2 linked regions of the Oreochromis niloticus genome follow. The protein of the gene in region 1 purifies or fractionates together with the protein of each later gene. This does not show direct contact. Links are inferred from orthologs where the notes say so. Each region holds a gene or a part of one and is shown on either strand. Other genes may lie near its edges.

What was found.
Region 2: the proteins of phgdh (region 1) and epn1a purify together in Homo sapiens (affinity purification with mass spectrometry; 3 studies listed by BioGRID and IntAct, with this or other methods). This does not show direct contact. The link is inferred for Oreochromis niloticus from reciprocal best matches to the Homo sapiens genes PHGDH and EPN1.

What each region holds. Positions count from the first base shown.
Region 1 is NC_031987.2:16,018,674-16,035,085, reverse strand, and holds phgdh (D-3-phosphoglycerate dehydrogenase), read right to left. Parts: upstream 6,507-16,412; 5' UTR 6,402-6,506; coding exon 6,264-6,401; intron 4,456-6,263; coding exon 4,304-4,455; intron 4,217-4,303; coding exon 4,151-4,216; intron 4,053-4,150; coding exon 3,998-4,052; intron 3,810-3,997; coding exon 3,711-3,809; intron 3,617-3,710; coding exon 3,484-3,616; intron 3,393-3,483; coding exon 3,244-3,392; intron 3,147-3,243; coding exon 2,994-3,146; intron 2,141-2,993; coding exon 2,002-2,140; intron 1,734-2,001; coding exon 1,606-1,733; intron 1,512-1,605; coding exon 1,289-1,511; intron 575-1,288; coding exon 420-574; 3' UTR 53-419; downstream 1-52. Other genes in the region: cfap210 (coiled-coil domain-containing protein 173), read left to right, coding at 9,450-9,498, 9,882-10,078, 10,207-10,380, 10,466-10,671, 10,776-10,932, 11,004-11,143, 11,253-11,427, 11,583-11,747 and 1 more; ppig (peptidyl-prolyl cis-trans isomerase G), read right to left, coding at 15,160-16,144. UniProt on the Homo sapiens protein: Catalyzes the reversible oxidation of 3-phospho-D-glycerate to 3-phosphonooxypyruvate, the first step of the phosphorylated L-serine biosynthesis pathway.
Region 2 is NC_031976.2:22,688,173-22,704,257, forward strand, and holds the start of epn1a (epsin-1), read right to left. Parts: upstream 7,344-16,085; 5' UTR 7,236-7,343; intron 7,225-7,235; exon of another isoform or gene 7,015-7,224; intron 6,810-7,014; coding exon of another isoform or gene 6,732-6,809; exon of another isoform or gene 6,294-6,731; intron 6,288-6,293; 5' UTR 6,242-6,287; intron 2,661-6,241; 5' UTR 2,500-2,660; intron 2,253-2,499; 5' UTR 2,220-2,252; coding exon 2,151-2,219; intron 1,778-2,150; coding exon 1,619-1,777; intron 307-1,618; coding exon 178-306; intron 1-177. Other genes in the region: putative serine/threonine-protein kinase SBK3, read left to right, coding at 6,732-6,809. UniProt on the Homo sapiens protein: Binds to membranes enriched in phosphatidylinositol 4,5-bisphosphate (PtdIns(4,5)P2). Modifies membrane curvature and facilitates the formation of clathrin-coated invaginations. Regulates receptor-mediated endocytosis.

The sequences.
Region 1 (16,412 bases):
ACCAAATATTAATAACAGTGGGGCAAAAAAACCCATAGAACTGACACAAATCACACATTTAACATTTTAATAGAGGAATTATTGAAGGGCCGTCGTACTGAACTCGAGCTGTGTAGTGAAGTATTTTTAAAATATAAAAATATAATGCGTTCAAATTAGAAAGTCTTCTTTAAAAGGATCAAACAACAAACTGAGCAGCGTACAACGAACATTTTTATTTAATTTCTACTTCTACAAGTTAATAAAAACATCTAAACACTGGAATGTTATAAAATGCAGGTTTTAAACTGCAACTTCTGAACGAGTTGTTAGCTGTAAACACAAAGACCGGATCATTTATATTAGACGCTCCTGAAAATGTTACAGATCTCACATCCTGAATGCTATTCAGTGCCTCTGTAAGTGCTTTGCGCTGTCATTTAAAAGCCGAGCTGCGCTGCATCCTTCACCACGGAGTTCAAGGCACTGAGATCTCTCAAGAGAGAGGACACCCCCACACAATACCACAGATCCCCAGAGCGGTCTGCAGGAGCACTGAAAGACTCAATCTCCACTCCCTCTGTGGCCAACACTCCTAAACAAAGAACAATTGAAGAGAGAAAATAGGTGTGAATGGAAAGAAAAGAAACATTGGTGAAGGTTACAATTTAGTTCTCATAACTCAGGGCCAGCTTTCATCTAAATTCAAACTCAAAAACAAATGTGCGCAAAGAAGCAGTTGAGGAAAAACAACAAGAATGCATGCTTTGTTTTCAGAGAGACAGTTTAACAGACATGCAAACTATCTACCACCAACCTAAACTTTCCATTTAATTGTTCTGAAGTGAGAAACAATTCTAACTCTTTACATTGTGTTGAAGGTTACTGCCTTAGCCTCCAAAACTGATGGAACTAAAGGAAGTTAAATTAAATTAATTTGTAAAAGACTGAAAAGAAACTCAGTTACTGATTGTGAATGTTGAATATACATTTGAATATACAATGAGGGACTGTTTGTGCATTCTTTCTAATGTCCAGCAGGTGGCGACTCTATTGCACTACTGGTTTGGACCTGCTTTTTCTCTCTCTTAATACTTTGTTGCATGGATTCAAACAAGTGCTGAAACAAACCCATATTGATATGATAGAATTGCACAGTCGCTACAGATTTGTTGGCAGCACATCTATGCGTCCACCATGTCCCAAAGCTGCTCTACTGCAATGAGATGTGATGACTGTGGAGGCCATTTGTGTACAGTGAAATCTTTTATAATCACAGATTATAGTTTTGACGTCTACATTTTCTTACCAGCCAGTGAGGACAGGAGTTGAGGATTCGCAGGGGCCTTAAAGAAGAGCAGATTTCCAGTGAGAGAGATGGGCTGTCTGAACACGCTGTTGCACAGCTCCAGGAGGACAGGCACTCCACCTTGAACTGAACCGCTGGCTTTATAGCTGCAGCCAGTGGCCGCAATCTCCACCTTACACACGCCTTCAGCGGCCCCGGCAGATGCACAGTGGGCCTGGTTAACCTGAAGAAGTTGAGATAAATGAAAAAGATTTATTTGACATATATTCCACTTGTTTTTCTCATGTTCTATTTGCCTGAATAAATTGAAGGTGTACCGTGATTCCAGTTTCCTTAGCTAAGCTCAGCGCGTTGATGAGGTTCGGGCAACATCCTGATTCATGATTGAGTAAACCCACCAGCACAGCTGAAGTCATGTAACCAGTGGAGGACTTCATGCAATCCCCTGGTTTGTAGAGCAGAGTGCAAAAAGCTTTTAATTACAGGCAAAATATTTTAAAGTAAAACTGTTTTAGAAAAAAAAAAAGACAAAAGAAACTACACAGAAATGATTTTCCTATAATAGCTTATAAACCCACACGACTGATTTGACAATTTCACCGTGACACCAGCAGAGGGAGGAAAAACTGCTTCCTAGTATTTTTCCTTCCTATGAGATGAACTCTCCTTGAGGTCGCTTGGTTACAGGAAACTGGTTAAACCAGAAATGTTACCTTGAGTAGTGATTTGAACATGACTGAATGGTTTCTTAGACGCGCTGAAAGACTGAAGAACAGATCCAACGGCTTCTCCGAGTTTAATCAGTTGCTGCGACTCCTGGGAGAACGTGCTAGCCAAGACCTGAGCATTTACCTGCACAAGGAGAACAGTTTAAAATCTGTTACAAAATCTTTTTTTTTTTTCTTTTTTTTTAAAAAAGGTTATTACTTATTTTAGGGTTTTTTTTTTTTTTTACCAATACCCTCCAAATGTGATCAAACTGGATTATCAGCTGATACTGTTTCCTGCTCAGTCGTTTCTTTGTATGTATCACCACTGTTTGCTTTATGCTTTTTGTACAAAACAAACAATAAAATATATCAGTTTTAAAGCTCCAATGTCCAACGTGCAGCTGTCATATTCAAAATAAACTGCAGCACTGAGGGCACATGGAGTAAAAGAAATAAAGAAAAATTTAACTTACAAATTCCTGAGACTGACGGTTTTCTGCGAGCATTGCTCACTTGTCTTATTTTCAGAAACAGTGGTGCATTTTTATTTTTTATATTCTTCACAGCTTTATAATCATCTGCTTATCTGATAATACTTGACTTATTCTGTCCATTTTGTGCAGATGAAAAGTGAAATGATGCATCAAATTCCCACTCTATGGCAAGTGTGGACAGAACCCGAAGCAGAAAGCCTGGCTTAACAAAGAAAGCTAATAACCACTGCTGTGATATCCATTAGGTTCCTGTTTTCTTCTCACCTGCTGCACGACAGTCTGTAAAACAGTCCACTACTTCCTGTACAGATAACTGTGGGTATGAAGTCTGATTTGTTGATAGTGATGCTTTGGAAGCTTGAGAATATTTAGGCTTCCAAAGCGATTCATTTTACACAAATCCGCCAAACAATCACTTCAGTAGCCCTTTAGCAAATTTATAACTCTGGTCTGAGGAGTTATTTTTTAAAAACAGTATTAAGAAGAGCATGTAGGACTTACTGCTCCAACCAGGTTCTTTCCCTTCACCATGTCCACGATCTGCAGGGCAATGTCCTCCCCACAGCGAGCCTGAGCCTCCTTCGTACTGGCTCCTAGGTGAGGGCAGCTGATGACGTTGGGATGCTCCACCAGTGAGTGGTTCTTAGGTGGCTCCTGTAGCCAAAAACATAAAGACAATGTGAAATTTAAGCAACAACCTCTCTTTAATTAATAAAAAAAATCAATCAAGCAATTTGACAAAAAGAAAAACCTCCACAAAGACGTCAAGGCCTGCTCCTCCACACTGTCCAGACTCCAAGGCTCTGAGCAGAGCCTCCTCATCGATGATGCCCCCTCTTGCACAGTTCACGACCTTCACGCCTTTCTTGCACTTGGCAAAGCTTTCATCGTTAAGGAGACCTTGGGCACATCAAAAAGAAATTCCACATCTTGCTGATGGACTTTGCACCACCGTTATAATCGACCGACATATGATTGGTGTTTAGCTCACCAACAGTAGAGGGCAACAGGGGAGTGTGGACAGTGATGTAATCACACTGGGGCCAGAGCTGCTCCAGAGACATCTGTTCCACCCCCCAGGTGGCTGACACCTCTGGAGGAGTGATTGGATCATAGCCAATAGTCTGTTAAGGAGAAAACAACCTGTCATCTTTTTATGCCTGTTTATTTTAAATATCACAGTAACTGTGAGCAGATATTGTGCAATTGTGTGCTGACCTTCATGCCAAATGACTGCATCCTCGAGGCGACCTCCTTTCCTATTCTTCCAAGTCCGACTATTCCGAGCACTTTGCCGTACAGCTCTGCACCCATGAACTGAAAAATCGGAAGCAAAACAATGACCCACCTCCAAAACTCTGAAAGTACACAGATCCAAGTGTCCCATCTGATTATTCACAACTGAGTGGACAATGGAGCCAACCATGCAACAGTAATGGCTTGATGCTCCCAGTGCAAACAGCCGTTCAAACAGCACACTGGAGAGCAAGCGAAAATGCTTTTACCTTCTTGCGATCCCATTTCCCTTGCTTCATTGACATCGCTGCTTGTGGCACATTTCTGAAAACAGATCAACGTAATAATGGAATATTACTGCACTTCAATTAGAACCACAGAGCTTCTCGGCAATTGTTCAGAAATGACATGACTCGTCTTGCCTTGAGAGGCTCATGAGCAGAGCACATGTCAGCTCAGCAGCACTGATCGTGTTGCCACTCGGCGTGCTGCAGAAAAACACAGTTATAAAGTAAAGTTAATGGTATACTGGAACTGCACAGTGAACCAAATCTGCATTTAAAGTGGAGACTTACTTCATGACAATAATGCCCTTTTTGGTGGCGGCAGGAACATCTACGTTGTCCACACCGGTCCCAGCTCTTCCAATAATTTTGAGATTATTAGCAGCACTGATAACATCAGCTGTTACCTTGGTTGCAGATCTAACCACGAGGCCATCATAGTCCTGAGATTCAGAGAAAAGCAGAGCTGATGTTAATTTTCTGTTTTAAATCCACCCAATAGTTCACACAGAGTCAATGAGTGTCAGTTATTTTGAGCAGCATAAAAACTGTGAACCAGTCAAAAATCCTATGCCAGGATATGATATACTTACTAAATAATTCTCATTAATTCCTCATTTCTAACACTGATCTTTGGCCTGTTTTATGCCAAATGATTTACCTCTGTCCAACCAGAAGTGTTACAAGACAGGTTATAGTGTTTTTTTCCCCCTGTTACAATGTAACATGGACTTCTATAGTTTCCCATTGTCAGGGGGACACCTGTTAACCATGCAATAAAATGTGATTTTATCTCTCTGTCTGTGTCATGTCATGTGCCATGACATGTCATGACATGACACAGACTTTGTTGGTCAAAGCTTGGAGAAGGCTGTGTTGTGTTGTTTCAGGTGCCGAGTTCTGGGTTTGAATCTGCCCCAAGACCATTCACTGTGTGTCTTTCCCCTGCTCCCCAATTTCCCTATCTTCTTTCCACTTTCCTCTCTAAATACAGACTAAAAAGCTAAAAACAAAAAAACAAAACAAAAAACAAAGATCTTAAAGAAATAAAAAAAAAAAAATGGTTGAAACTGCAACAGTCAAAACTGATCAGGCTGCAAAATGACATCTGACTGATAACTGATAACGTTGCTAAATAGTTGTCAGCAGAGTGCCAAACAACATCTGGTTCGTGTACACACACTACTATTACCAGATGTCATTCTTATTAACTAGAAAGAACACTTTTAAGCCACTTATGTTGATCTTCATGTAAATTCTATCCCATTTGTTGCATGGTGATTTATTAGCCTGTACTGCACCCAGTTATTAGATCAGTTAGCTCAGTGTGAGAGATGAACACTTTGAGTTGCCCTTGTGGTGTATATTCTTTACTTATTTTATTCTAGAGGACAAAAGTATAATAAATAATTAAACAATTCTTGAACATAAGCTTTTTCTTGCTAGAAAGCCCAACAAGGATGTACAGGCATTATTTAAGCAATACAGCCAGCCCATTTTCATTTCAGAGCTTTTTTTTTTTTTTCCAATTTAAGACTAGATGCTGAGAAAATACAGCCATCCAATGGTCATTCAACATTGAAATGTTTATTGAGAATAGGCTAAAATAAATTTTTAAAAATAAATACATTTTGGACTGTAGGGGGCTCCAAAAGGCCCACGGCCCCAGGGTGTACAATAATGTTAAGACACCCCTGCAGGGGCCTTATGTCATTTAGGGCACCAGAAGTTTTAGAGCCAGCCCTGTACAGTCCATTCAGCTCCAACAGCTCATCATTTCTAATCTGACAAATCGAATTTGTTCAAATATTCTCAGACATACACACATTGGCTCTGTGGAGAAAATGTGGGATTAATGGAATAGTTTGGGTTGGGGGTAGAAGTGGAATCAATGGCCGCCCGATGCACTTGCAGCAGATAGGAGGTCGGACTGTGGGCAATAGTCACAACACCACGAATGAGTTGCATCAGCTTCACAATGGGCGGTACTAACCGAATAAATCAGTTTTTAACTGGCTGTCGGGATCATTTAATTACACGTGTCAGGTTGAATTGTGTTACGGAATAAAAAATGCCAGCTGCTAGTCCGCAAAAACTTTTTTAGGCGTGCAACGTCATATGCGCACCGATTAGAGCGAAAGCGCCTTTAGACTAAACTTTATAGAAACCTGCTTTGTAGGAAGAAAAAAAAACCCCGACAGCGGGTGCATGTGAAGAAATTACGCAATATAACGCAGAGTGCCATTACTACCTTTATCTTCGCGATTAATTCATCCTTAGTCATGTTCTGCTTCTCCGTGACTCGGATGCCATTTTCCTCCAGAATCGCCTTGCAGCGAGGGTCTACACTTTCACTGATCAGCACGGTTTTGATGGAGATCGGGGCCATCTTGGTATTTTCTCTGCGGGTCGCTCGCTGGTGGACCACCGGTGGGTGCTGAGTGATCTGGGAGAAGAGATGGATGGATGGATCGGGGAGTGCTTTTTTTTTTTTTTTTTTTTTCCTTCTGCCGGTTTTGAATGGTTGTCTCGGATTTAAGACGCCCCCTTTCTACGTGGATCCGCCTCTCCTGCACCTCTCAAGTCAAATCCGAACAATGCATACTGGAAATCCTGGAAATGGCCTGCATTCAAAATAAAAGTGCAGAAGTACTCTAACTGAGGCTAATACTGGCTTTTCGTTAGAAAGAATACACGTAGTGCTGGTTCAAGGTTAGCAACAGCCTCCTGTTAAACTGGATCAGCGTTATTTATTATTTTGCATATTTGTCACATATACATGTAAATACAGAAAGCATTTTTGAAACCATAATTCAAATTATTAAGTGAAAAAAGCTATTCCTAAAGCTGATATCTACTTGTGCCACTCCTGGCAGCAAGAACTGCAATAAAGCTTTTGTGATAACTGGCAATGAGTCCTTCACATTTCACATGGAGGAATTCTGGCCCACTCTTCTTTGCAGAAATGCTTTAACTGAGCCACGGTGGGAGACGTTTGGTGTGAATAGCCAGTTTAAGGTCAAGTCAAAGCATCTCAATCACAGATTTGAGTCCGGATTTTGATTTTGCCATTTCAAAACCTTCCTTTTATTTTTGGGGGGACATTCAGTGGTGGACTTGCTGGTGTGCTTTATATCACTGTCCTGCTGGATATAACCATGTGGCAAAATTCGCAGCAGAATTCGTGGTTCTATTAAATACAGCAAAGCCGCCACAGGCTATCACACTACCACCACCATGCTGACGTGATGTTTTGTTTTTAAATGAAATGCTGCATTAGGTTTATGGTGGTCAGAGGGCCCGGTGGCGCCAGTGTCAGTGCGCCCCAGGGCAGCTGTGGCTACAATGTAGCTTACCATCACCAGTGTGTGAATATGTGTGTGAATGGGTGGATGACTGAATGTAGTGTAAAGCGCTTTGTTGTTTCTTTAGATTTTGAGAGCTTTTAGCCTTCTTCACATTGTCAGACAGGTTCTATTTAAGTGATTTCTGGATTCAACAAGTCTGGCAGCAATATGGCTTAGTATTAGCTAATGAAGCTTAACTTTCCAAAATCAATGGTTTATCACAGTTAATTCATTATGCCTTTTCCTATAGGGCCAGGCTTGTAAACCTTTTTCCCTCGATAAATAAAATCCTCATTTAAAAATGTCTATTTACTTGGATTTCATTTGGATAGGGTGTTTTATTTTGTACATACTTTTATTTGTCAACTTTAGATTTTCTTTAACTGATTGCTAGGTTTTATTTTATATGATGGGATAGTTTTATATATATAACAAGGTAAAATATTGTAAGTTCAATAGAGCAACAATGGCTTATTAAATGTAATACAGGCAGTATAGCAACTATTAGATGATATTACTCAGTGTAGCTTATCCATACACCAGTCCCTACTTCGAGACTCTAAACGATGCATAGTTTTTAGTTATACCAGGTATAATATATGAATTGTGCGCTGTACAAGAAAAAAAATATTATTCTTATTTCCGACGTTCAGTTAAACTCTGCTACAAAATGAAAACAAATTCTAATCATGAGGTATTGATTATGCTTATTTCTAGATCCATATTTTGTTTCTCAGAGTTTACCAGCATAGCCTTGCATGAAACACAGTTCAGAATAACCTTCAAAACTCTATCAAATAACTGAGTATAAACTATAACAGCTTAAACATAAGTAGCAAAGTAAAGGATCTGAGAGATGTGATCACCTAAAGATCAAATTGGTCCATAACTGTCCCCATTTAACAGTAAGTTAGGTCAGGCGAGTCTTAATTCAACAGACACTGTTCATCACCTGACTCATTAGGCAGCACATGACAGGCCATGTTCCACTGCTGGCTCAGTAAATTTAGCACATCTGTCATGGTCACACAGCTGCAAATGCCTAAAGGACCAGATTTTACAATGGATTTCATAGATCAAGATCTTAAACAAGAGTAAAGACAACAAAATGACTTAATCTGAAATTGCCAGGAGTCCTATTACAAACCAAAATCATTGTCCAAATCAGAGACTCCATCTTTGTCATCAGATTTCCCATCATCTTTAATTAGTATACTGTAAACAAAAGTTTTATGAACCATTCATCCGTTACTTTCAGTTACTCTTTTAACATTTTTTTCATAACTACAAACTTTATCAGTGGGCATATTTTGACACATCAGAGTAGTAAAAGCACCATGGCTCAGTTCTACTAACTCCCAGCACGTGACTCACAGGAGGACTCAGCCTGAAGACTCTGCAATGAGAAAAACTTTACCTGCTTGTTATTTTTAATAAACCAAACATTATACTTCTCAGCGTTCTGGTCTATGTTTGTAAGAAAAAAATAAAAGTACAAATGTGGTGCTTAGAAAAAATTAAGTTACATATTTGATGTTGTTTTAAACCATAGACAAGATTGTTCTTTCTAAGTTAAGACAACCACTTTTCTCCTCTTGGTGTCAGTGAGATAACTGAACATGCATCCCGATGCAGAAATTGTGTATAACTCAGGAAAGAGCACAAAATAAAGTGTGACACGCCATTCATTTTCCCTAGTTTATTACATAATGAATTCAGAGTGTATACAAGTGTGTATATATACACTTGACTGCGGTATAAAAAACTATTGTAGATCAATGGATTTATTGCCTACTAATTTGAGAAAACAGAGCTTTCTCTCTGTGTTCACATACTCCAGGCTAATCACTTCCTGAGCCCCGCTGTTCCTCCGAGGGCTCTGCCTATCAGTATTTAGAGGATGATTCTGATTGGTTCCGTCATTGCCTGGATACCACGCAACAAACGCAGGCTACGTAGAGCGGACAGTTTGACGAACGTCAGCTTACAACTATAATAAAATAAAATAAAATAAAATAAAATAAAACCTTTACTTTGTTTTTTGTATTTGGCATTATTTTCTATAATAGTAACCACTCCATCCGATAGGAATGGCAGCGGTGGTTCTGTACGGCCGTCGAAGAGGAGCTAGTAAAAACGGTGAGAGCCAAACAAACATTTCAAAGTTTATTCAGTCTAGTTATATAGTTAACCTTTGCTACCAGAAGAGCCGTTTTAAGCCATTATTTGAACCAAAAACTCTAGATGGAGCCGAATGTAATGCTCATTTATTTAAGCTATTTGTTTGTCGAGGCTATTAGCCTATAAGTGCTTTTGATTTTAAAGTCTTTCCAAGATCCTGCTTCACTTCACTTCAACCAACAAGTACAGCTATGAAAGTCAGTTAATTGACAAGTGGGATGTTGTGGTTTCTTCTCTATATGAGTATAATATCTTATAGGGACCTAGTAGGAACCTTGGTGTGATAAGTGGTTGCTGTAGCACATGCTCCAATGGTAATTTCTTTATTAATGTGTCAGCAGATGAAGCCATTAGAGCTATGCAGCCACCAGACCTCCGACATGTTACTGTCTTAAGTAAGGCTGAATGGCTGAGGATTCAAGATGAACTGAGTGGGGTTAATAAAGAAGAGAAGAGAATAAGAGAGGCAGCTAAACAGCGAGAGAACCTACACCTGCAGTCACAGGAGGTGGTGAAACTTTGGCCTGATACCCTCCATGTAAGTTCTATGTTGAGAGATATTTCCTAAGATTAAATTTATACTATTAAAGTCATGTGCACTTGCTAGGTTGAAAAGAGCTGGAACACAAAGGCAAAAACACACTGCATCCATATGTCTTGTCACAGGGACAAAGGCTGAAAAGGCTGCAGGAAAAGAAGATTCGAAAGGAAATTGAGGAGGAGCAAATGAGACTGGCTGACTTAGAAGAAGCAAAATACCAGGAGCAGAGGCGGAAGGAGATTATTGAAAAAGCCAAGACTCAGCTCTACTGTCAAACCGACAGAGTCAAAGGACTACATGTTAGTCTCGCTTATGCATTATTATGCCACTTGAGTATGAAACTGCACAATTTCACCTAACAAATGATTACTACTTCCTCCACAGAGTGCACTCCTGCTGACAGAGGTGCTGAAGGAGAGGGATGCTCAGATTGAGCTTAAACAAAGAAGAAAGAGTGCCAGTATAGATGTGGACAAAGCATTTCTGCATATGGTACAGACTAGAGAGGATGAAGCCTTGAAACAGGAGCAGGAGAAGGCACTGCAGAGGAAGCTTGTGAGACAGGTTGCTGCACAAGACCTAAGAAACCAGTAAGACCTAACAATCAGGCTCCAGCTGTATGTGTTAAAAATTTAAAATCCCCAAAACACCACAACCGCAGGACAATGACAATTATATGATTACTTTTCCTCAGAATAAAGGAAAATGAGCTGCTGAGAGAGCGACAAAAGCTGGAGAGCAAGAAGGATGGAGACGAAATCCAGCGTCTCCAAGTGCTGCATCAGCTGGAGCGAAGGATGGAGGCAGAAAGACAAGCAAATCAGAAAAGAAGCCTCATGCAAGCTCACCAGGTAGGCTCTTATTTGAATCTTATCTAGTATTTATTTCACTGGACATTAAGTTTATTTAATGCATTTTACAGGAGCATATCACCAACAGAGACCTCATAAGAGCCACAGATGCTCAGAAACAGGAGGCTGAAGAGGAGCAAAGGAAACTGTTTCTCTCTACTAAGCAAAAAATCATGAAGTTACGCAAAGAAAAAGAAAAAGAGCTGCTTAGGTAAGACTGAGTAAAACAGTATATATCAATAAATAGCTCTGGATCAAAGTATCTCCAGTGCTAAATCTTCTTAAATATAATGGATACTCGTATGCATTTTCTTCTATAGAGAGGCCCAGACACGTAAAGAAAGGATCATAAACAGACTGACGGTCACACAGCAGGAGCAAGCTGTCAGCGAGGAGCAGAAGATCGCAAAGGCTGTCGCAGAGAGGGAGGCGAAACAGGCGCAGCAGCAACTGGAGGAGGATGAGAAGAAAGCTGAGATGTTGAAGTCCATCAGTGTACACAGAGAGCTAATGGTATCTCAAACCGAGCATGAAACATCCAGTGTGTTTCCTCTATATATATATCCTCCAATGTGTCTTTTCTGTGTAGAGAAATCCATATTGTTGCTCACAAAATTTCATCACGTCTGTAACGCAAACTGTTTTACCAGAGACAAGAGAAGGAGGAGAAGGACAAAATAGAGAGGAAGAAGGCCCAAGAAGCACTGCAGGCCAAAAAAGAGGCTGACAGAATATTTACTGAGAAGCAGCAACGAAAGGTTAAGAAAATCAGAGAAGAAGAAAGAGAGGTGCAAGACTTCAATGCTGTGCAAATGGTAATGTCGGCCAAAACGTAATAAGTTTTGATCAGAAACTTTGCACCTTCTTCACTGAAACTCTTTTGCCTTTGCCTTGCAAATACAGGCTGGAAAAAGTGCCAGACTTCAGCAGCTGAGAGAACAGGAACATGAGTTTGAAGCGAAGAATGCAGAACTCATCGCTGAAGAGGAAAACCGCTTCCAGCAGTATTCACAGCAAATCATCAACGCTGCAGCAGAGGCTCAGCGAAACGTGTTTCCACTTTGTAAAGCTGCGAGGGAAGGGATCGGAGGTGGGTCCAGTCCTGTTTTTAGTGGAGTCAGGCCAAGTTACCTTGTTCAGGACCGCACTGGAGCTCAGATGCCCAAATATGTCTCAGTGGCCACCCAGAACATCAAAAAGCTTCACGAAGCTGTAGATATTCAGGATGCCAAGAGAAGACTTGGATTCACATGGTGATAGGTTACATCCAGTTTGAGTGCACTTCCAGAAAGCAGGTTCAGTAAGTGTGAGTTTGTTAACTCTGATATGAGGGAAACACTGTTCCTGAATCAGGCTGTGTGAACCTAACCTGCTTGCTATCAGGTTTCATGAACAAACTCTCAAACCCCTCCTACACCTGAACCAGCCGATACACTAGGTCTCACATCCACATCCCGGAAGCCCCTATCTTCAGTTCTGTCACCTGCATTTTGTCCCTGTCAGATTTGGAAATCAAATGTAAAATAACATAGGACTCCAGCTTCATATAATGAAGATTCAAGTATATAACTTTAACTTTATGTGTTTAAACCCATTTTGCACAGAGAGACATTTTTGAAAAATGTATTGATAGCAATGTTGAATATTATTACACAGGAAAAAAAACAACTACACGTAAAATAATTACACCCCTCTGCCTTTCTAAATGGAGGGACAGTAACTGCGTGTGTATATGTAAGCGTGTAAAACCTGAAGATAGTCAGATTAACAGTATTTTGTCTCTATCTGCCATTCTGCAATTCATCTCATGTAAACAATAACGTGGCGCACAGCGTGACGTGAAAAGAGGCACATACCTTTGACGTTGCGTGAGGAACTCTGTAATCCTCGTCCACACGTAAACGCAAAAAAGGAGTTTTAAATAATCTCCGTTTTCGGTGAATCGCAACGCCGTTTAGGTGTTGACGAAAAGCCCAAACGCATAGAAACAGCTGAGTTTTCAAAAATACCCGTGGTAGGTGTGGACATAGCGTAAAAGAGTTAGTAGTGCATTTTATTACTACCTGTAATTTATTGCCGTTTACTTGTATTTGCTTAATTGTTTACTAAATGTTTGAGGTGTAAAATAAATCGCAATGGAGTTTGTAAACAAAATATGGGTGTGTGTGTTTGGAGGATGTGTTTGTGCGGCCGGGGAGGGCGCGAACATTTTTCTTGTAAAAAAGGGGGGCCTGGCAAAAAAAGTTTGGGAACCACTGTAGTAACTCAACCTCTTGTGCCCTACTTGCAGTACTTTCATAGCCCACTAGGGGTCCATGACACAAACTGTGGGAGCCACATGACCACTGCCCTGAAGGGAAAGGGCTACACTAAAACGTTGCTGCTTTATGCTGACTTCAGCGTGGTTAATATAGAAATGTAGTGTAGTACATTAATCTTTTTGTGGTTATTGTGAAGTCATATAATGTTCTTCTTAAACAACAATGTTTTAAAGAGCTCAAACAAGGAACATGCTTATGTGCCCCAATAACTAATATATTGCTCTGAAGTTCGAAGATGATCCAATGGAAACTTAAGCTTTTTCATAATTAGAATGATCTTGAACTTTGACCTTTAAGCACTATTTACTAAAAGTGCATTTTATAATCTTTACCCATATGATTTCAGCCAATTCTGCTTCAAACTTTGGCTATATAAACTATAAAACTTGAGATTTTAAGATACTGAAGTTTCACTCTGCATGAATGTATCAATGTGACGTTGTGGGGCATTGTATTATAATACAAAAAGTGTGTTACACAGCCCTCTCTATGCCCTTTTATATAGTACTTGATATGGTTTCTAGAATTTGTTTTTTAAGGTCAACTTTAACCTTGGGTGCTAAGAATAAGGGTGCTTATCCAATCTTGGTATTCATGTCCCCCAAGGTCTACTATATATTGAAGGTTGAAGATTAAACATTTTAGGGAAAAAAAAATAAAAATTACATCAGCTTAGCCGTTATGGCAACTACAATCACACAAAATTTGAAAATTATATCTTGAAAACTGGACACTAGACTAAGACAAACAGAATTCATACTCCCTTGCTTTGAGGGGAGCAAAAGCACATCACTCAGAACTTGTTATTTGAAATTATGGAAAGATGACTCATCCAAACCAAAAATAACCTCTGGGAACTGATTTCCACTGCAATGACAGAGTGATACAACCACTGACTCACTAAAAGGTAATAATTCAGTGTCACTTTTCCGTAATAACGGTATCACTTAACGCTGATGTGACTGGGACAGCATTTACAGAATAAAAACAAAAAACAACGACTTAAAAGCAAACAGAGCCTTTTAATTCATCAAACACTCCAGCAGTTCTTAAAATCAGTTTGAACCAAACGGAACAGAAACAAACTGCTTTTATCTTATACTTAACAGCTTGGCATTAACATTTTCTCTTTCAACAGAATTACAGTAAATGGTTAAAAAAACAAAAGAAACATCATGGGTGTACACACAATGACAAAAAAAGAGCATGCAAGACATGAGTGTTTTCTTCCAGGCTGATTGACATTAAAATAACTTGAGTGAGGAGGATACCATCAAAATCTCCCCCCCCCTCTTTTTAAATTTTTTTTTTTTAAACAAACTGAAATCAGAGAAAATTTAAAGTCAAGACAGAATTACAGAATTTACCACATGATGTAAAATTCAGAAAAAACCAAAACAAACAACAACAAGAAAAACAACATGAAAAGAAAACCTGCCTCCAGTCTGACTTCACGCGATTAAATAATGTAAGATTTAGAAGAATACCTGGTACGTTTACAGCCCTGCCAGTGCAGTACACACACTTTGTAGTTACAAATCCTTTGTTTCTAGAATGGCTCCAAAACATCAGCTACCAGTTAACTGTGTTACACACTCAGTGGTGGACAAACTCACAATCCCCATAAAGTCCAAACTTCAGCCAAAGGTTGAGGATGCTACAGTTTGCACCTGCAGGTATGAGCCATTTTATTTAAGGTCTTTTCTACAGTCTCTGTTATCTGAATACCACAGTTATTTAACAGTCAAGTAATTAGCTTTGAGGAACCTTTTACAGTCATATTATCTTTGGCAGAACTGTTTATTTTGTACTGTATGAGGACTGTGATTGTGCCCCACTGTGGATGGAATGCTGACGCTGTGTACTACATGTACACCTTAAAAAAAATAAGAACATTATCGCGCGTTTAGTTGCTGTCAGAGCTGGAGCTAGACCCCGACCGATTCCTCTTGCTATCATTTCTATCTTTGCCTTTCGTACTGTCTGGTCTTTGGCTGGCCGGGCTCCTTCGGTCTTTGGACTTGTCTCTTCTTTTAGAATCTGGGCTCCTATGACTCTTCTTTTTCTCTTCTCTGTCACTCTCAGAGCTGCTGCTACTGCGTCTCCTCCTCTGGCCGGCAGCCTCTCTGTCTTTGACTTTTCTATGAGAGGATCGATCCCTGCTTTGGTCTCGCCTGCCGCTCCTGCTTCTTGAGCGCCTGCCTCTGTGCGAGTACCTAGCCTTACTTCTGTCTGGGCTTCTTGTTCGATGTTCTTTATCCCGGGATGTTCCTTGTCTCTTACTCTCCCTTTCACTGTTGTGTCTTCTTTCCCGACTCCTGCTGCGCTCTCTGCCCCTCTCTCTGTCCTTCTCTCTTTTTTCTTCTCTCTCTTTTGATGCTGAAGTCCTACCTCTGTCTTTGTTTCTGCTGCTTGATCTGCGCTCATCCTTTTTGGCAGCTCTCTCTTTACTTCTGGACTTTGTCCTGGTTCTCTCACCATTTCTACCTTTTGTGTCTTCTTTATGCTTTTTGTCAGACTCATGACCCTTATTTCTGTCTTTACTGTGATCAGATTCTGCCTCCTTTTCTTTTTCATGAAAATTTCTATCTTTGCTCCTTGAGCGACCTCTCCTCTCATCACTTCTGTGCTTGTGACTCTTCTCTCTGCTTTTTGACCTTTTCTTTTCTCGGCTTTTACTGCGACTATGGGATTTATCTTTTTTCTTTGCCTTGTGTTTATCATGCTTGTCATCCTTCTCTACAGTATCCTCTTCCTTACTTTTAGATCTATGAGATCGAGTTTTCTTGTCTTTTTTACCCTCAGTTGTATGTTCAGCCTTTGAACTGGAAGTCCGTCTCTCTCTTTTCTGTGCTTTAGCAGCCTCATCCTGACCCTCATTCATGTCACCTCTGTAAAAGAAATAGTAGAAAAAGAATAACAACAATAATAAAATTTAGGAGTTAGACAAAACATCAATTTGGCAGACAAATTTTTTTTTTAAAGTACCTTTTCTGTTGTTTTGTTATATAATCAAGTGCACATCCACTCACCTGCCACTTTATTAGGTACACCTGTTTAACTGCTAATATATAATCTGTCAATCACATAACAGCAATTGAGTGTATTTAGCCCACCTGAATACTGCTAACCATGCCTGTCGTTTTATGAGCACAGTGT
Region 2 (16,085 bases), on another chromosome or scaffold:
TTTATGGCTGGCTTTGTGTGGTTGCACAACAGGTCAGAGACACCTAGTCAAACATGCTGCTTGTAGTTTAGTCAAGGACATTTTACAGTGTGCGCCTGCATTCCACAAATGTGGACTTTAATCACCACTGACTTCACCTTTCTATTCAGCTTTGAAGGCATGGGTGTGTCTGTGTACCTGGTCTTTGCCATCTCTGTCTATGTACTGGAAATCCTTGAGGGTCTGGACTGCGTAAATGTTCTCTCGGCACTGCTGGGCAACACGTTCTGAACCCGTTTTGATCAGGTACTCCATAAGAGTCATAGCCTTGAGAAAATGGAGAGAGCTGTAAATATTCAAACACAAAAATCCCCAAAGTAAAAGAAACCTCTAACACACAAAAATAAAAACAAATATTTCAGCTTTCGGTTTTTAATCCCACACAAAATTACTGACCATCTCTGTACTACAGACATAACTACTCCATGGATTTCCATCCAAAGCCCCACAACCTTTTAGGTGGCAATTATCCTCTGTTGCAGACACTGCGGAGTAGTAGTTATTCCTGGAAAACTTTCTTTAAAGGGTGCATAGGTAGTGCACTGTTTGGTAATGTCCTGTAAACAAATGTGGGCGATCATAAAAAAAAAAGGAAAAAAAAAAGAGGCAGACGTGTTGACGTCTACACACAGCTTCAAGCTAAATGTCTGATGGGAGGCTTTATGTTGCTTGGACCCAAGCAGCGCACTTGCAGACACTGAAACTAAAAAACACCTAAGCGTGATGTGTCTACCACGCTGTTTTTTTAAAGACTACAGCTGTGCAATTAGGTGAATCTTAATTTTGGTTTCCAGGAATTTTTAACACGAGCTGATTCAGATAGAAAGATTATTATGCTGCACTCTGTTTTGGATATTCCTTTCCTTTACTGTAACCTCTTCTTCCAGCCAGGCAGATGATTTAGTCTGGTTCATATTTATTTGTTTATTTAGTTTTTCAGTTGAATTAAAGTTTATGGAAATACACTTGCATAAAAGACATCATTTTTCTTTTACGTTTAGTCAGTCTATTTTTCCATAACCAAAAGTTAATTGTAATCTTACTATTGAATACAATGCGATTATGATTTTTGCTATAACTGAGCCACTTTCATTCCAAAGGTCTGTACAAGTTGTGCCATATCTTTACAGATTTCAAAAAGACTGTGTTCGCCATTGTCAGCTTTTAGGAAGGCACCCAATCACCAAATGAAGGAGGCGTGGGATAAATGCTACGTCGACCAATAGTCACAGTGGTGCTCTGTGTGTGTAAATGCCATGAGACTAGTTTGAAAATAATGCTTGAAGGAACATTTGGATCCTCTGGGTCTCTCAGTTAAGCAAAAAGACAGAAATATGCAGAAAAATTTAACAGCTTGCACACTCCAGGATCCCAGGTTCACCTTTTAATTAAAGCAGATATCTGATGAACTGTTCTAAACAACTGACTTTTCAATACCTACAATTAAAGTAGCATGGTTTATTTCCTTTGGATGAAATAATGACAATAATATGCTGTGTTTTGGAGTTTTCCCATGGTGTTTACTGTCTTGAGTTTAATCTATATTGTTATTCCCAACTTTACTTCTGCACTCACAAACCTTGTACACATGTCTCCAATTCTTGCCATGGTCATTGAGGCGCTTCCACACCATACTCATGATTTCCGAGAAGGCCACGACATTGTAGGTAAGATCGGCGATCTCTGACATAAGGGAACTGCTGGGGCCCCATGGGTCATTAGACGTCGCCTCCCTTACCTGGACACAAAAACACACAAGAGGGTTAACTATTAATTATTCCACTCAAACCGACTGAGATGGGAATTATTTCAGACATTACTTTGTGACATCTTGGTGCACAGTGTTCTGAGTAACAAAATAAATTCAATCAGATCACAAGCTGCAGAGAATAATGAATGGGTACGATATGATTAGATTAGCTCATTCTCTACATAACAAGGGGAAGAGTGAGGAGGTTCTCCAAAGAAATATTAGATTATCAGAAGCCGCATAATCTCATCTGTGTGGCAGAGATGCATTTGTTACACTTAAGTCCTAGATACAAAATGGGAATGTGTGCAGAAAAAGAAACAGAAGAAGAAAAGCCAGCTAAGAAGCCAAGAGATACAACCTTGATTTCAGCCTCTGAATAGTTGTGGACGATGTTCTTTACTTGTCGCCGTAGCGATGAGGTCGACATGGCAACGGTCTGGCCACCGAGCTCTGTTGAAAGCTGAACAGCAGATGGGCAAGAAGAAATATAAAGTATAGTTAATACAATACAAATAACATGTTTATTTCCAGGGCACACAAATCAACAAGACTTACAACCAATAAAACATCCAGCAAGAAAGACGATGAACACTTGAAATACTCGTGAGGAAGTGTGCGTATACAAGAGTCTACAATCAGTGAGTGGAAGATGGCACTGGTAACCCAAATCAGCATGAAACGAGAAATAAAGACAACATCGTGCGCACCTGTTACACAAGACTGATGCAGGAAAAGGGTCTCTCCTCTTGCTATATTGCCGTTCCTCTATCTTGGCTGCAACTCATTCATGGAGTGCTTTGTCACGGTTTGTCTGTTTCTTCCCGTGGCAACATTGGGTCCCAAAACCGCGGACTAAGGGGGATGAAAACTAGGGAGCAGGATTGAGATTAATGTAAATGCATTGTGACTTGGATACTTCTGCTACAGCACAACAAGCAGGCTGAAACTGAATCTGTGACTAAATCTAAAGTAACCATTAATAAAAATTTTAAAAAACAAAAGGACAAAGGAGATATTCAGCAACAAATGTCACATGATCTGTTGCTGATCCACACATGCTTCACAGAGATACAACTTATCAGTTAAAAGCTTTATCTCTTATTAGAGTGAACAGTTTAAAAATAGGAATGTAGTCATTTTAAATATGACCATCTGACTGAAAGCCAATGGAGATATTTTTTGTCTTTTTATTTACTTGTCAAGTGAAGAGTAATATTACAATCTACACTATAAATAATTATTCAGTGAGTTTTAAAGTCTGTTTTCTCTTCTTTACATATTCTTTGAAAATTTACCCCAGGCCAAACTGATAAATACAGTTTACTGACAATGTTAAATTACATCTTTTAGCTGCCCCCCCCCCAAAAAAGCTGTTATAATCTGTGCATCTATGCAAAACATAAAATCAATCAATAAAAAGAGCAAGAAAGTGTGAATGAAAACAAAATAAATTCCTGACAGAGACCTAAACTGTAGCAGTGAATTTAACTGGATGAGTTTTTACAGAAAAAGATGGCAAACAATTTGGCTTCTCAACCTTGATTCCTTAACAAAGTCAATAATTTAGTTTTCACAACTAAACATCTAGGCAACTTCCAGCTTCACACCAGGGTAAAACTATACAAGAGTAGCACTAAGATAAATATTTTAGAAGGGTTCAGTTTACTTAACTCCAGGTACTCTAATCATTACACTGCCAAAAACTTTAATCTTGAACCCATATTTGCAGGCCTCAAGAGCAGAATAACAGATTATTAAAAACAACATATCATCAACCACTGTTGATAATAATCAGGGACAGATCCACGTATGGATGTCAAGAAAATGGTACACATGGTTAAAACAAACTATAAACTTGAGGCAGATTTTAAATGAGTATTTTAATTAGAAGAGATTGATACCCAACAAGTGTGGGAAACTTTATGGTGCAATAACGTATAGTTTCTGTTTTGCAACACCACTGACAGTTCCTGAATTTGGTCTAAAAAAACCATGGACTTATCCTGTTTGCTGATGGAGAAAGAAAAAAGGCACGCAGAATGATTTTTGTGGATCAGCAGCACATCTCTCACTACCTGCTGAGCTTTTTTTAGTATCTGATTGCTCACGCATCAGGTTGAAACACTGTTGCTGACCAGATGCAAGCTCTCACTGCCACAATCTGCATTTTCTTGCGTAACAGATGCTACCTCAGCTTGTGCCACAAAAATATTGTCAGGTCCATAAGTATTTGGACACGACAGAACCATTGAAGGAGCTAGCCACACTTTTCTGTTGTGAACAGAGGCAAAACTACAAAAACAATCACTCTGGAAAACAACTGGAAAACACTGATCATCTTACTGGTTGATGCTAAGGAATTCTCTGTACTGGTAACTTTCAAAAATAAAGAGAGGAAGTACATGGTCTTTCCTTTATAATATAATAAATATCAATTTTTCCCCACCCACTATATGTGGATCTTCCCCCAGTTGGCAAACCAGCACTGGCAAGAAACATTGCCGCTCTTTCCGATTCTCCAGATTCAAGCAGATCCTTCTTCATACTGAACCAATAAAGTAAACAAACTGACTTCTACAAACAGCATGCTGGTTACAAACTGGAGATTTATTAGTTAAAGAACAAAAGAAAAATAAGATTTCAGCCCTGACTGCTTGTTACTTATTAAAATAAGTTGTAACTTGCAGTAATAAATTAACCTGTTGGCAACGATTAAACCAGTGGTTCCCAAAAAGTGTGGCTGGATTAAAAAAAACGATTGATTGAGATAGATATATATATGTATATATATATATATATATATATATATATATATATATATATATATATAGATAGATAGATAGATAGATAGATAGATATATATATATATATATATATACACACACACACACACATATACATATTACTGTAACTGCATAATAAGTAACCAATGAAATTCAGATGTACTACATTAGTTGACATGAAATGACCTGATTGACAGTGAGAAGGATCCAATTTGTGCAGTAGTAAAACTGATCACTTTCTTGTGTAAAGAAAACCACACACAACCACTTTAAGATCGAGAACTGTCAGGAGGAAATAAGCCACAAAAATACGCTTTTTTTATGGCTTCAGCTGGACTGGGATGTTAATAGGCTTTTATTTTCTGTAAGGTTTTAACAAATGTGAACGCTGTGCCACACAAGCAAGACAAACCTGGAAACCTGAGAGAAACTTAGTCTATCGTAAAGAACTAAATGTGAATCATAGTCAGTTTGTAGGACTTTGTACAAGTGTCTGATAAGGGGATCCAGGCAAGTTGCATGTTTGCGGAGTTTACTGGAGACCAAAAAAAAATTGTAGGTGTCACACTTAAAAGTGCTTTCATCTGACACAACAGCTAAAATAGTCATTCACGCCATTTTAGCTGAGATAAAGGCTAGTTTCTGCAGATATAAACAGTGGTTTAAAGTTTGAAAACTGCTGGGTCATTCCATCACAAAACAAAGTGGGCCTTCTGCTCGAACATCTCAGATATCCCTAAAAATTATATGGTCCAAAGTTTGAATTTACATTAATATATGAAATACTTCTCTAGCTTACACTTTGAAATTTGAGGCCATGTTTGAGTCCGCACACTTCAGTAAATATTTAAGATAAATAACAGAAATTTACTATACGAAATGATGAATCAGGATCTGTAATTTCGGACAGATACAGAGTAACTAAAATATGGAGAAAAATGAAAGCTATCTTGTAAATTCCCATGTTTGTGAAAAAGAAAGAAAATTACATTTCAAAAGACGACTTAATAATTTCTGAGTGATATATAATTTTATTTTAAAATACCACAAAATGAAACGTGCAGAATATTGTTTTGACATGAAATTCTTAGTTAATTATTAATCCAATTTCCAGTTTCAACTGAGAAAATTGTGTTAAATACATGCACGTTCTTAATTTTCAAGACCTACTGCACTAGATGACTCGGTTTAAGTTTAAAATATACTAATAATATTAAAAATGCAGTGAAAATGTACGAAAAAGAGAGGCACATCAGACAAGGTTGAGCAGAAAATGTTCTTAAAAATTGGATGATTTAGGATGGTTTGGCTCTAGTGTCACTTTCAAAAATGCTTTCATCTGGCAACACAGCTAAAACAGTTGTTCACACCATGTCAGCTGTGTGAAAACCACTGGATTACACATTTTAAATGGCACAAAATGAAAGCCTTTAGTTCGGATACTATACGAAAAACATAACCGTTCCAAACATCATTAAGTGTTTTAAATCAGCCTGACAGCTAATAAGGGGTTCAGATTTGTAGGTCAGATAAACATGAGAGCATGTTGCATAACTGAACAGAAAGCAACCATTGCAAAAGTCAGTTCAGAGACTCCTGAAGCCCAGTGCCAAAGTTCAGACACGCCAGCTAATCCGTGATAACCATGATAAGTGACATAACATACCTTTTATATATCTCCTCTTGTCAGATATCGTCAGTCTGAAGCCACACTGAGGGGAAAAAATCCCCCACAAAGTTTCAGTAAGTATCTCAGAAGCACTACAGTACACAGTTTATCAGCCTTAAGCACTAAAAATACACAGATGTCTCACTTAGATCACATACAGAACAAGCTATAAACGCTGTAGCGCTTATTTACTCATAAGTCACGTCACAGGAAGCTGCTCTATATGAAAGATGGATTGTATGGTTGAAGCCAACTACAAAAGGCGAAAAGCAGGCATAAGTGTTAACTGATTTATTCTTCCTATCACTCATATCCAGCTAACACTGCACAGCCTCCCGAAGATGTGACCCCCACCCAGATAACGTTAACGACCCTGCCAGACAGATGCTGAGCTCCCTGTCACACCTATTAAGATAGCAGGCTAACTAACTGATATGTTAGCAACCAAACTGTCATCTAACGTATTTCTAGCTGCTAGCAAACGCTAATGTCCGCTGTAAAATGCAACACACAGGTCTTAAAACGAACATTTTTATGTACCAAAGGCTTAATTTATCAACTAAAGGTGAGCACCAAACTCTCTTATTCTCAGCTAAGCTAATCGAAACTGTTTGCGATCACTTTGCTATCACAAAGTCTGGGTGTAGTACAAACAGGTGCACGGAGGGATTTAGTTAGGTATAAAAAAAAAAGCGGGGGAACTAAACAGAATGAGTCGTTCCTGTCCTAGCGCGGAATTATCCCAAACTCGATAAAAAGGTGAAGGTTACCTGCCACTTTGACTGATAAAAGAAATCACTTTGCTGCTGTTGCTGCTCGGACACATTAGCCAGCTAGCCTGTTAGCTGTTGCTAGTTCGCTACATGACTGACAGACCGTACGAGCTCCAGCTTCACGTCCTGCTTTGGGACACTACTGAATACACGCATTCAAGAGTCAAAAAAGGCTGACAACCCGGCACAATAAATATCTAAAATAAATGTCTACTGACCCTGCTGTAGCTTGAATGTACGAGGAGATGGCCGAATTTCCGCTTCCGTTCTCGCCTACAGGAAAGACCGCACCCCCTGTAGCTTTGTTTTCCTGTGATGGTAGTAGGAGACTCATGAATTATTAATTGAGACGAAAAGAAAGTCTCAAATAAAGAGATATCGAAATGATTGTTTATTACCGTTTAAATTCATTCACTGATAGACAGGGGGTATGTTTTTAAAAGTTCTGAGATAAATTTCCTTTTTAATATTCATTTTGTGTCAAAGGGAAGAACTCACATCCTCTTTTTGTCATTATTTTTGTTTTCGCACGTTTGTTCCACGTTCTCCAGACTTCTCAGAGATTTAAAAAAAAAGACTTTGGGTGGCTAATAGACAAGAAAACGGTTTGAAAATATAGAAGGTGTCTTTCTGGGTTCATTTCTAAAAATCCTAAATGAGGAACTGGTTTCACTAATGGCAATAAAATGGAGAACTTGCCCCTGATTTTATATTTTTAAACTGTGATCATAGCTGGACTGGCCATCGGGCATACCGGGCATTTGCCCAGTGGGCTGATGGTGATTTTTCGTTTTTATGGGCCAATGGTTTTTTATGTTTGTTTTTTTTTTCTTTTTTTTGTCTTTTGTTTTTTTGTAACGGTATAAACAATGAAAGGTGGTGTGACCAATGTGTAAAATGTAAAAATAACTTAGTTGTTTGGTGGTGGCTATGGCGGAGCTTCCATAGAAGCCAGCAGGTAAATGAGGGAAAGGGGAGGCAGGAGGAGGAGAGACCCGAGGTGGCCGCCGGTCCGAGTGTCAGGTGAACTGAACTTCAGGTAATAATGATCTGCAGTCTATCTGGGTCAGATATAAACCAAGTTTAGGTATAGTTTATTTTCATTGTGCTGACTTTTTACAGAGTTTCTATACAGCTGGGTGGGTGCTATGATGTTACTGATAGTGAACTTTATTTTATTCATACGGTTAGTTAGTAGAGTTGCCAACCGTCCTGTAAAAAACAGAATCGTCTGGTATTCAGAGAAAATATTACACGTGTCGTAATAAGCTGAAAAGGAACAGTTTGTCCCGGACTTCAGCTAGAATGAAAAAAAGACACAAAGCTGCAGTTATTCTGTGTCTTTATGCTGTCAGCTGTTTCTTCTTCTCTCATTCTCTCCCCTCCCTCTCCTGTTGCTACTTCAATCATGAAACTGATCAATGATCAGCTGATCGGCTTTTCTGACCAAGTCCCGTCTGTTTGTTTATGTCCCACTTTGCGCCAGAAAGAGGAAACCGGCGGATGTTGCGCTAAACAACAGCAGCAGGTTTAAGCTTGATCAGCTGTTGTTAGAATTTATTTAATATTAATTTCTAGTATCAGCTGAGGTTTGCGGGAGCCACAGCCGTAAAAGCTGCTGGTTATGATATCGGTTTGGATATTCTGGTGAGAGGGAAACATGAAGCTGAAACCAGGTAATGTCCTTACTGAATCATCAGAGCTGAACAGGTGATGGAGAAACAGGTTTACCTTTTAGGTGACATGAATGAGTTGAAGGGAAGTTATGAACAAATAACACCAGGATCCTTTTCTAAGTAGCTGACAGCTGGTAACTGTGCAGGGGCGGGTCTAGCAGGTTTTGCCAGGGGGCCAGGTAGGGCATTAACAGGGAAAGGGGGGCACAAAGAAATACTTTTGTTTCTTATTCTCATTTAAAATGTCTCGCTTTTAATAAATAATTATCTGAATCTTACCACCAAAGTTTTTATCTGATGTAAAATGTACAGAAATCATACATATACCAACAAGACAGTGCACATCACTGTCACAACAGCGTTTGTTTTCATTCAAAGGCTTTATGGCTTTTCCTATAATACCTGGTGGGCCAGTCTCTAGTCAAAATGCCCGGGCCGATTTTTTGTCCCAGTTCAGCCCTGATTGTGATAGAAAGTTTAATATTAGACGAAGAATACCCAAGGAAACACAAAATGCAGTTTTTAAATGATGATTTCATTTATTAGTGGAATCCAAACCTAGCTGGCGCCTCCTGAGTAAAGGAACTGCCCCCTTATTAATTAATGTGAAGCACATTTTTTTAGAAAGCACAGTTCAGTTTCTTTAGCTGTCTCCGGGACTGATTATTGCCAACCTGTTGATCCGAGAAATCACTTAAATAGTTCCTGTCTGACAAAGTGAAATACGCTAAAATTACTCCAAGAGCACATTAACGACTCATTCAAGATGTCATAAAAGAAGTAAAACTAACACAGCATTTCATAAAAGAACATCATACCAGCATTCAAACATGTTAGTTTTAATGTGATGGTTTGGGGCTGCTTTGCTGCTTCAGGACCTGGACTACGTGCCATAATTGATGGATGGAACCATGAATTCTACTCTCTACCAGAAAATCCTGAAAGAGAACATCCGGCCATCAATTTATACCCTGAAACTTAAAGTGAAATTGGGTTATGCAGCAGGACAAGGATCCAAAACACACCAGCAAACCTAACTCTGAAACAAGAAAATGAAGGTTTTAGAGGGGCCTAGACAGAATCCAGATTTAAATCACATCGAGATGCTTTGACCTGACCATAAAAAGCTTGTTCATGCTTGAAACCGCTCCACTGTGTGTGAATTAAAACAATTCTGAAAAGATAAATTACAGGGATGTGAAAGACTTATTACCAGTTATGACTGATTGCAGTTCTTGCCAATGCTGGCCCAACCCTTAGCTTTAGGGGGCAATTATTTTTTTCACATGGGGCAGATAGATTTGCATAGCCTTTTTTTCTCTTAATAAATGAAACCATCATTTAAAAAATGCATTTTCTATTTGTTCAGGGTATCGTTATCTAATATTAAAATTTGTTTGACAATTTGAAACATGTAAGTACACTGTAAAGTCTAATATTCTGCTTAATTAAAAATACTAAGTAGGCTGAACTCAGAGCTTGTTAGAACTCAGTTTAAGTTACCAGTAAGTTTTGTTAAAAATATAAACATTTAGTATTGCTTACTCAGAAAAATCAAGTTATTTTTAGTACTGTGTACCCACAATGAATAAGTTGGCCTAACTTAGTTATCTTAAGTATGCTTTACTACTTTTTTTTTTTTTTTGCATAATTTTTTTAAGTTCTGGAAACTAATTCGATTTTATGGTGTATTAAAAAAATATGCAGAAAAAAAATCAGGAAAGGAACAAATTATTTATTTATTTATTTTACATTGCATCATTTAAGTAAAATTACTAAGACTCTGTTTTGATGTTGTTTAACTGAATACAAGCCTTCTTGTCAGAGTGTGAAGACCCATACGCACGCTGATGATACGGAAAACATTGAGACATATTTGAGCAGGAAGTATTTCACTTCTTAATGAATGAAAACTGAAAGTCACACCATAGGTTTGGTGGTAAATCTGTGGTAAATCTTAAGATTTAACACGCAGCAACAATTTCTCCCCAAAAATGCAATGACCCTCACCGTCCACAGAGAGGCATCCTTGAACTATCTGGTGTGACACCAGACCAGCTTTGCCTTCCCTGGGACCATGAAAAATACCCCGCAAGCCTCCTGGATCAGAACAACAGCTGGCATGCATGTGTGTTACAAGTTCCCCTTTAATCCTTCATCTCTTTATCCCTTTATCTTTCCCTTCTCTCTGGGGAGGAGGGGATTGAAGAAAACATTGCAGCGTGACTCAAGCAAACTTGTAATGTTACTCTGCTTTGGAAACACTAATCTTATAAGGACAAGCAAAATGCCGGTGATTATAACAAGTATAAATTATTCTGACAGGTGTCGTTCCACTATTATGTCACGCTGAAACTTTATTTAGTATTTCCTCTGTGCCCACTCCCCCAAGCCGTGTCAGGAGAGAATCGTTACTTTGTTTTGAAAGAAAGAACTGGACTCAGCCTGAGGAGGGGCTTTTGAAGAGGAGGAATCAAACAAACTAACACCGAAGCTCTCACGAGATGCTCTTTTGAAAGCCTGTGCTGTCACTTTCTGGATGTAAATAACATTCATCACTGTGGATTCTTGTCTGACAAATGAACTCTCAGATCAGTTTCTGTTCATTTTATGTCTAGTTATTTATGTATTACTAAAGACACATTTTTTTCTGAGTAGGTATTTGTTTGTAGGCTAAACCCTGGAACATTGTGTACGTATCAAGTCCTTTTGTCACAATCACTTGAATTAATAATTTATCATCATGCTGAAATTGCCTTTTGTATTAGTCTGTATAAGTTTGTTTTGTTGGCCTCTTTTGAGCTCCCGGCTATTCAGTAAATGCAGTTGCTTCCATTTATTTATGTATTTATTTATTCATTCCTGTTTTGCCAATGAGTGAGTTGATGGAAAATCAGTTTCTTTGAAAACTGAACCTGTAATACTTTGCTTATCGGCTGCTCAGTACCTAACTATTACTTTGCCCCAAGACAAACTGACTGAAAGATTCTGCATCAACTCAAGACTAACTGAAGCAATCCATTTTTTAGGCACTTTCATTTTATTGTGAACTAGAGCGAGGTTAGAGACAGAGAAAGAGAGACACAACCATTCACACTCACATTGACATCTATGGCCAATTTAGAATCATCAGTTAACTTGGCATGCTTGCTAACATGTCTTTGGACTGTGGGAGAAACGTACAGAGGGAGAACATGCAAACTCCAGATAAAACAACCTGTCTCTGTTAGCTGGAGGCTCGAGGCTCAAACACAGGACCTTCTTGTTGTGAGAAGGTCGTGTTACTGAGATAAACCCATCAAATATTGCTCCATTTGTCTCATAAGTGGAACGCCTAGTAATATTTTTTACATTATCATCAACAAGAACTGTGTGATGGATATAATCAGTTGTGTTTGCCTACTTTCAGTTTTATTTATTTTGTCTATGTTTAGACTGTATCAGAGTAGCTTTGCATGGTTTTGCATGGTTCTACTCAGTCTTGGTGAAACACCTCATTTTCATCCGCTGGCTGAAACAAGCAGCTTTAGCTCGTTGTTAAACTAATCTTATTTTGTCTGGCTGCCACAACAGTCCCATGCCCATATTAAGACATCCCTGTGACATCACAGCAATAGAAAAAAAATGTCATAACCTAAGCCTTTAGAGCAACTTTTGGCTCTTATAGATCACTTTAACACACACTGACCTGTTTTTTTTTTGTTTTTTTTAAAAAACATTTAGCCATGTTTAATATGAACTTTCATCAGTGAAACAGAAAATAAGGACAAAATGTCCTACCCATAGATGAAAAAATAAAATAATAAGGAAACACAAACATACCAAGTTGTAACAGGATTCTTTTATTTCAAAATGCACAAGAAAGTCAGGCTGTTTGGTGAGGTGACTGTGCATGTCTGTTTCTGAAGCCTGATATAAATGATTTGGTTAGGATGATGTGATTACCATCATTATCATACTTATCAAACCCCAGTGGATAAGGGCAGTGACATCCTGAAAGAGACTGCTTTCATTAGCATGGAAATGTGTCATCGCAGGATGAAGGTGACGCTGGACTATTTGTACTAATTTGCACTGACCCATTCCTCTGGGAGATAAGAAGACTAACCCGTGCCAGAAAAGATCCCAACCAGAGCATAACTCCAGCACTGCAGGGGTCAAGGGTTCAGGTATAATAAGCAGAGACCATTCCCTCGAAGAACATGGAACCTGGACAAATGGGGTCCACATTGTGTATATATATCCATCTACTGTATATTATGTAATGTGCCAGTAAAGCAAAGGTGAAAGTTTGTGTGAAACATCATTAGCAACCAAGTGGGCAATCTGTTTGCATTTTTTACATGCATGCTTTACACACAGTATTTGTGAATGAAACCGACTGCCTCTTGGCATCAAAATGACAGCAGTAAGAGTTTTGTTGGTGGAGTGGGGAAGTTGGTTGTCACAGCAGAGGCCAAAGAGCCTTGTGGTACAGGCACAAACATGCAGCCCGTCGGTGATGACCAGCTGAGCACAAGCAGTGGTGTTAGTAACCTGAGAAGGGACTGGCCTGTTGTGATAGCAGCCAGTGTTTGTGTTACATAATGCACAGCCAACAATCCAGTGGCAAGAATATGTCTATAGTATGTAGTACCAGGGGAAATCTATCTGAGCAGACAGAAAGAGGAGGAGGGTGTTGAAGCTATGGGAGGAAAGGCCTGACCTACAGCTGGTGTTAAGTAGGAAATAAAGCTGGCATTTAGATCAAGTATAGAATTAAGTTTTATGTCTTTCTTTTAAACTAAGATTTCAGATGTTATTAATATGAGTCTGATGATTAATATGTGCTTGAAAAGAGAGTAAGTCAGATAGTGTTGTGTGACAAGAAGAGGAATTATGATGACTGATGAAAACCTCCATTTATTGATGTGATGATTATATTTTAGTACATTTTGATTTTGATCGATTTTAAGTGCCTCCATCAGAAAGTGGCAGATATCACGGATAAGGAAGAGAGAACATCAATATTTAACAATAAAATGCTCTGTAACTATATGCTGTAATCCCAGTAAGATTCAGGGATCATGGATACAGCTTGTTGGCCTATTCCAATCATTCCAGCATACCTGTTGATTAAAAGAGGAATCCTATACTGTGTGGGGAATTCACTGACTCAGACAGGCTGAGAGGGTGAGAAAGAGACATGGAAGGAAAACGAGGGGGTACAAGGTGAATGACAGCTGAGGAGAGGGGAGGCAGGAGAGCGATGGGTTAATGTGGTCAGGCTGACTGACAGATTGGAAGAGGTGGGATATTAGCAGTGCTGTGCAGTAGAGAGGGGGGCACGGGGAGTAGGAGGTTTGAAATGCCTTGTAGCTGGTTCGTGCGTATTTGCCAGCATAACAGGCCAGAGGCGGAGAGAGCGGGAGTCTTGGCACAAGAGTAGGAAAAGAGAGGGAGGGAGTTAAGCATGTGTCTCATGGGGAGAAACACACAGCCAATATCCTGGTCTCCAGTAAACATCTATAAGCCTCCTTTATAAAGTCAGCTGTGCTACTGCATGGAACAAGGGAGCAAAGGCAAAAATATCCACTTTGATTATCAGTCTAGCTGCGAACATTCAGTAGATCTGCAGCCCTGAACAGAAGCTCCCTAACAGGAGCCTGTCAAGTTTTCAAAGAGTCTTTGATTAGATGGTGAAAAGAGCAGAGAAAACTGAGTAGAGATCATCCAACTGAGCAGAAAATGACAGTAAGTATTGCACATTATTCCTGTCCATCCAAACCTTTACATCTAGTTTTCAGAGACATATTTGTGACTTTAATCAAACTCATAATGTCAACATGTGAGTGCAGGAAAAACTACTATCAAGAAAACAGTTATAACGTGCATGTGCAGACAGTTTGGAGGTTTTCTGTAATGCCTTAATGATTTGCCTCTAGCTGATGGGATGGCATGCAGACGCTGCATGAATACACTGATGACTTTTTGCTACAGCATTTCTCTTTGGCTTCAGACTGTATCGTTAAGTGGTGTTTCAACTCCCACTGCTTGACACTTCTAATGGACTTCAAATTAGTTAGTGATGAGTTACATAAAACATTATAACACTTACTGCTTTGTGCCAAAAGCCATTAACTATTAGGGTTTTAATTAATAATCACCTTACTGTCTTAGGACATGGCAAATATCAGCACGCAACCAGTGTCTTAGATGCTTCTGTGTGATTAATGTGTAGGAGTCACTAAATCACTCAGCTAAACTGTGACCTAGATAGAATAAATGATAGTCATTTTCATTTGAGCATGCGTGGAATGAGGAGCAGCAAAAGAATCTGACAATGCGATAACTTCAACTCGTGTTAACAGCTCCGGGAACGGAATCCCACTGAGGCTTAAACTCATGGAAATGTGCTTAAAAACATTTCAAAATTTTGCTTTCATGCATGTGGAAGCTGTCTGAAATGTCACGTTTGATCCTCTTTGTGATATAAAATGTTTTAGTTGCTGCAGAGCGGAGTCTGTTGTTGCACCTGCAGCATTAATCTGTGCAGTATCAATCCTCAAACGGGCCATCATTAGTCTGTTTAAAATACAGCTGATCTGCACAACGTAATGCTCTCAGGCTGGTCAAAACCTTCAGTTTGTTGTTTTCAGTATTGGCTGCACATCAAGTCTATCAGTTTCCTTAAAAATGACTCATAGCTGAAATTAATCAATTTTCCAACCGTTTGGAATGATTGTAAGTTTGTAAGTGATTGGAAATGTTTTTCTGTAACAGCAATCAGGCTTATTATATTAATTCAAACCAGAAATATTGTTGGTACCAGCACAGCAAATACTACTAGGTGTTTGCAGGGACATCACAGTTATGCAACATGTGGAAGGTCAAGAATAAAAATATGTTATCCTTCTGGAGTCTCTTTATCTTTTGCGTTAAGCTCTTGTCTTAGTTGTTCACACCCGCCCTGGTGTTATGGGCTACGTGGTGGGGGATCCACTTCAAAGTAAATCATCATGGGCGAGACTTCATGAAGCAACGAGTAACAATAGGGATGAAAAACTAAATCACCAAATGTTCTGATCATCCTGATAAGACATCCTGATGTCTGGAGTGTCTATGTACCCCATTATGTTCCAGTATTTTCTGCCAAATGTTTGCTGGGATGGCACAAACATCTTAAACTTAAATAGTAAGCCAATAAACTTGCATAGAATGAGAAAAACGATTTTTACTATTGCAGCTAATGTAATGTGTGTAGTTTAGAGTCTTGAGGTCTTGTCATGCCCCAGGTTCAGGGAACACATCTGAACGTGCACCCCCTTAGATTCAGACTTCATTCTCTGAAGTTATCTATCAATAACATCAACACATGCCGCTCAAGCTGCAGCTCTTATTTCATCAATTTGG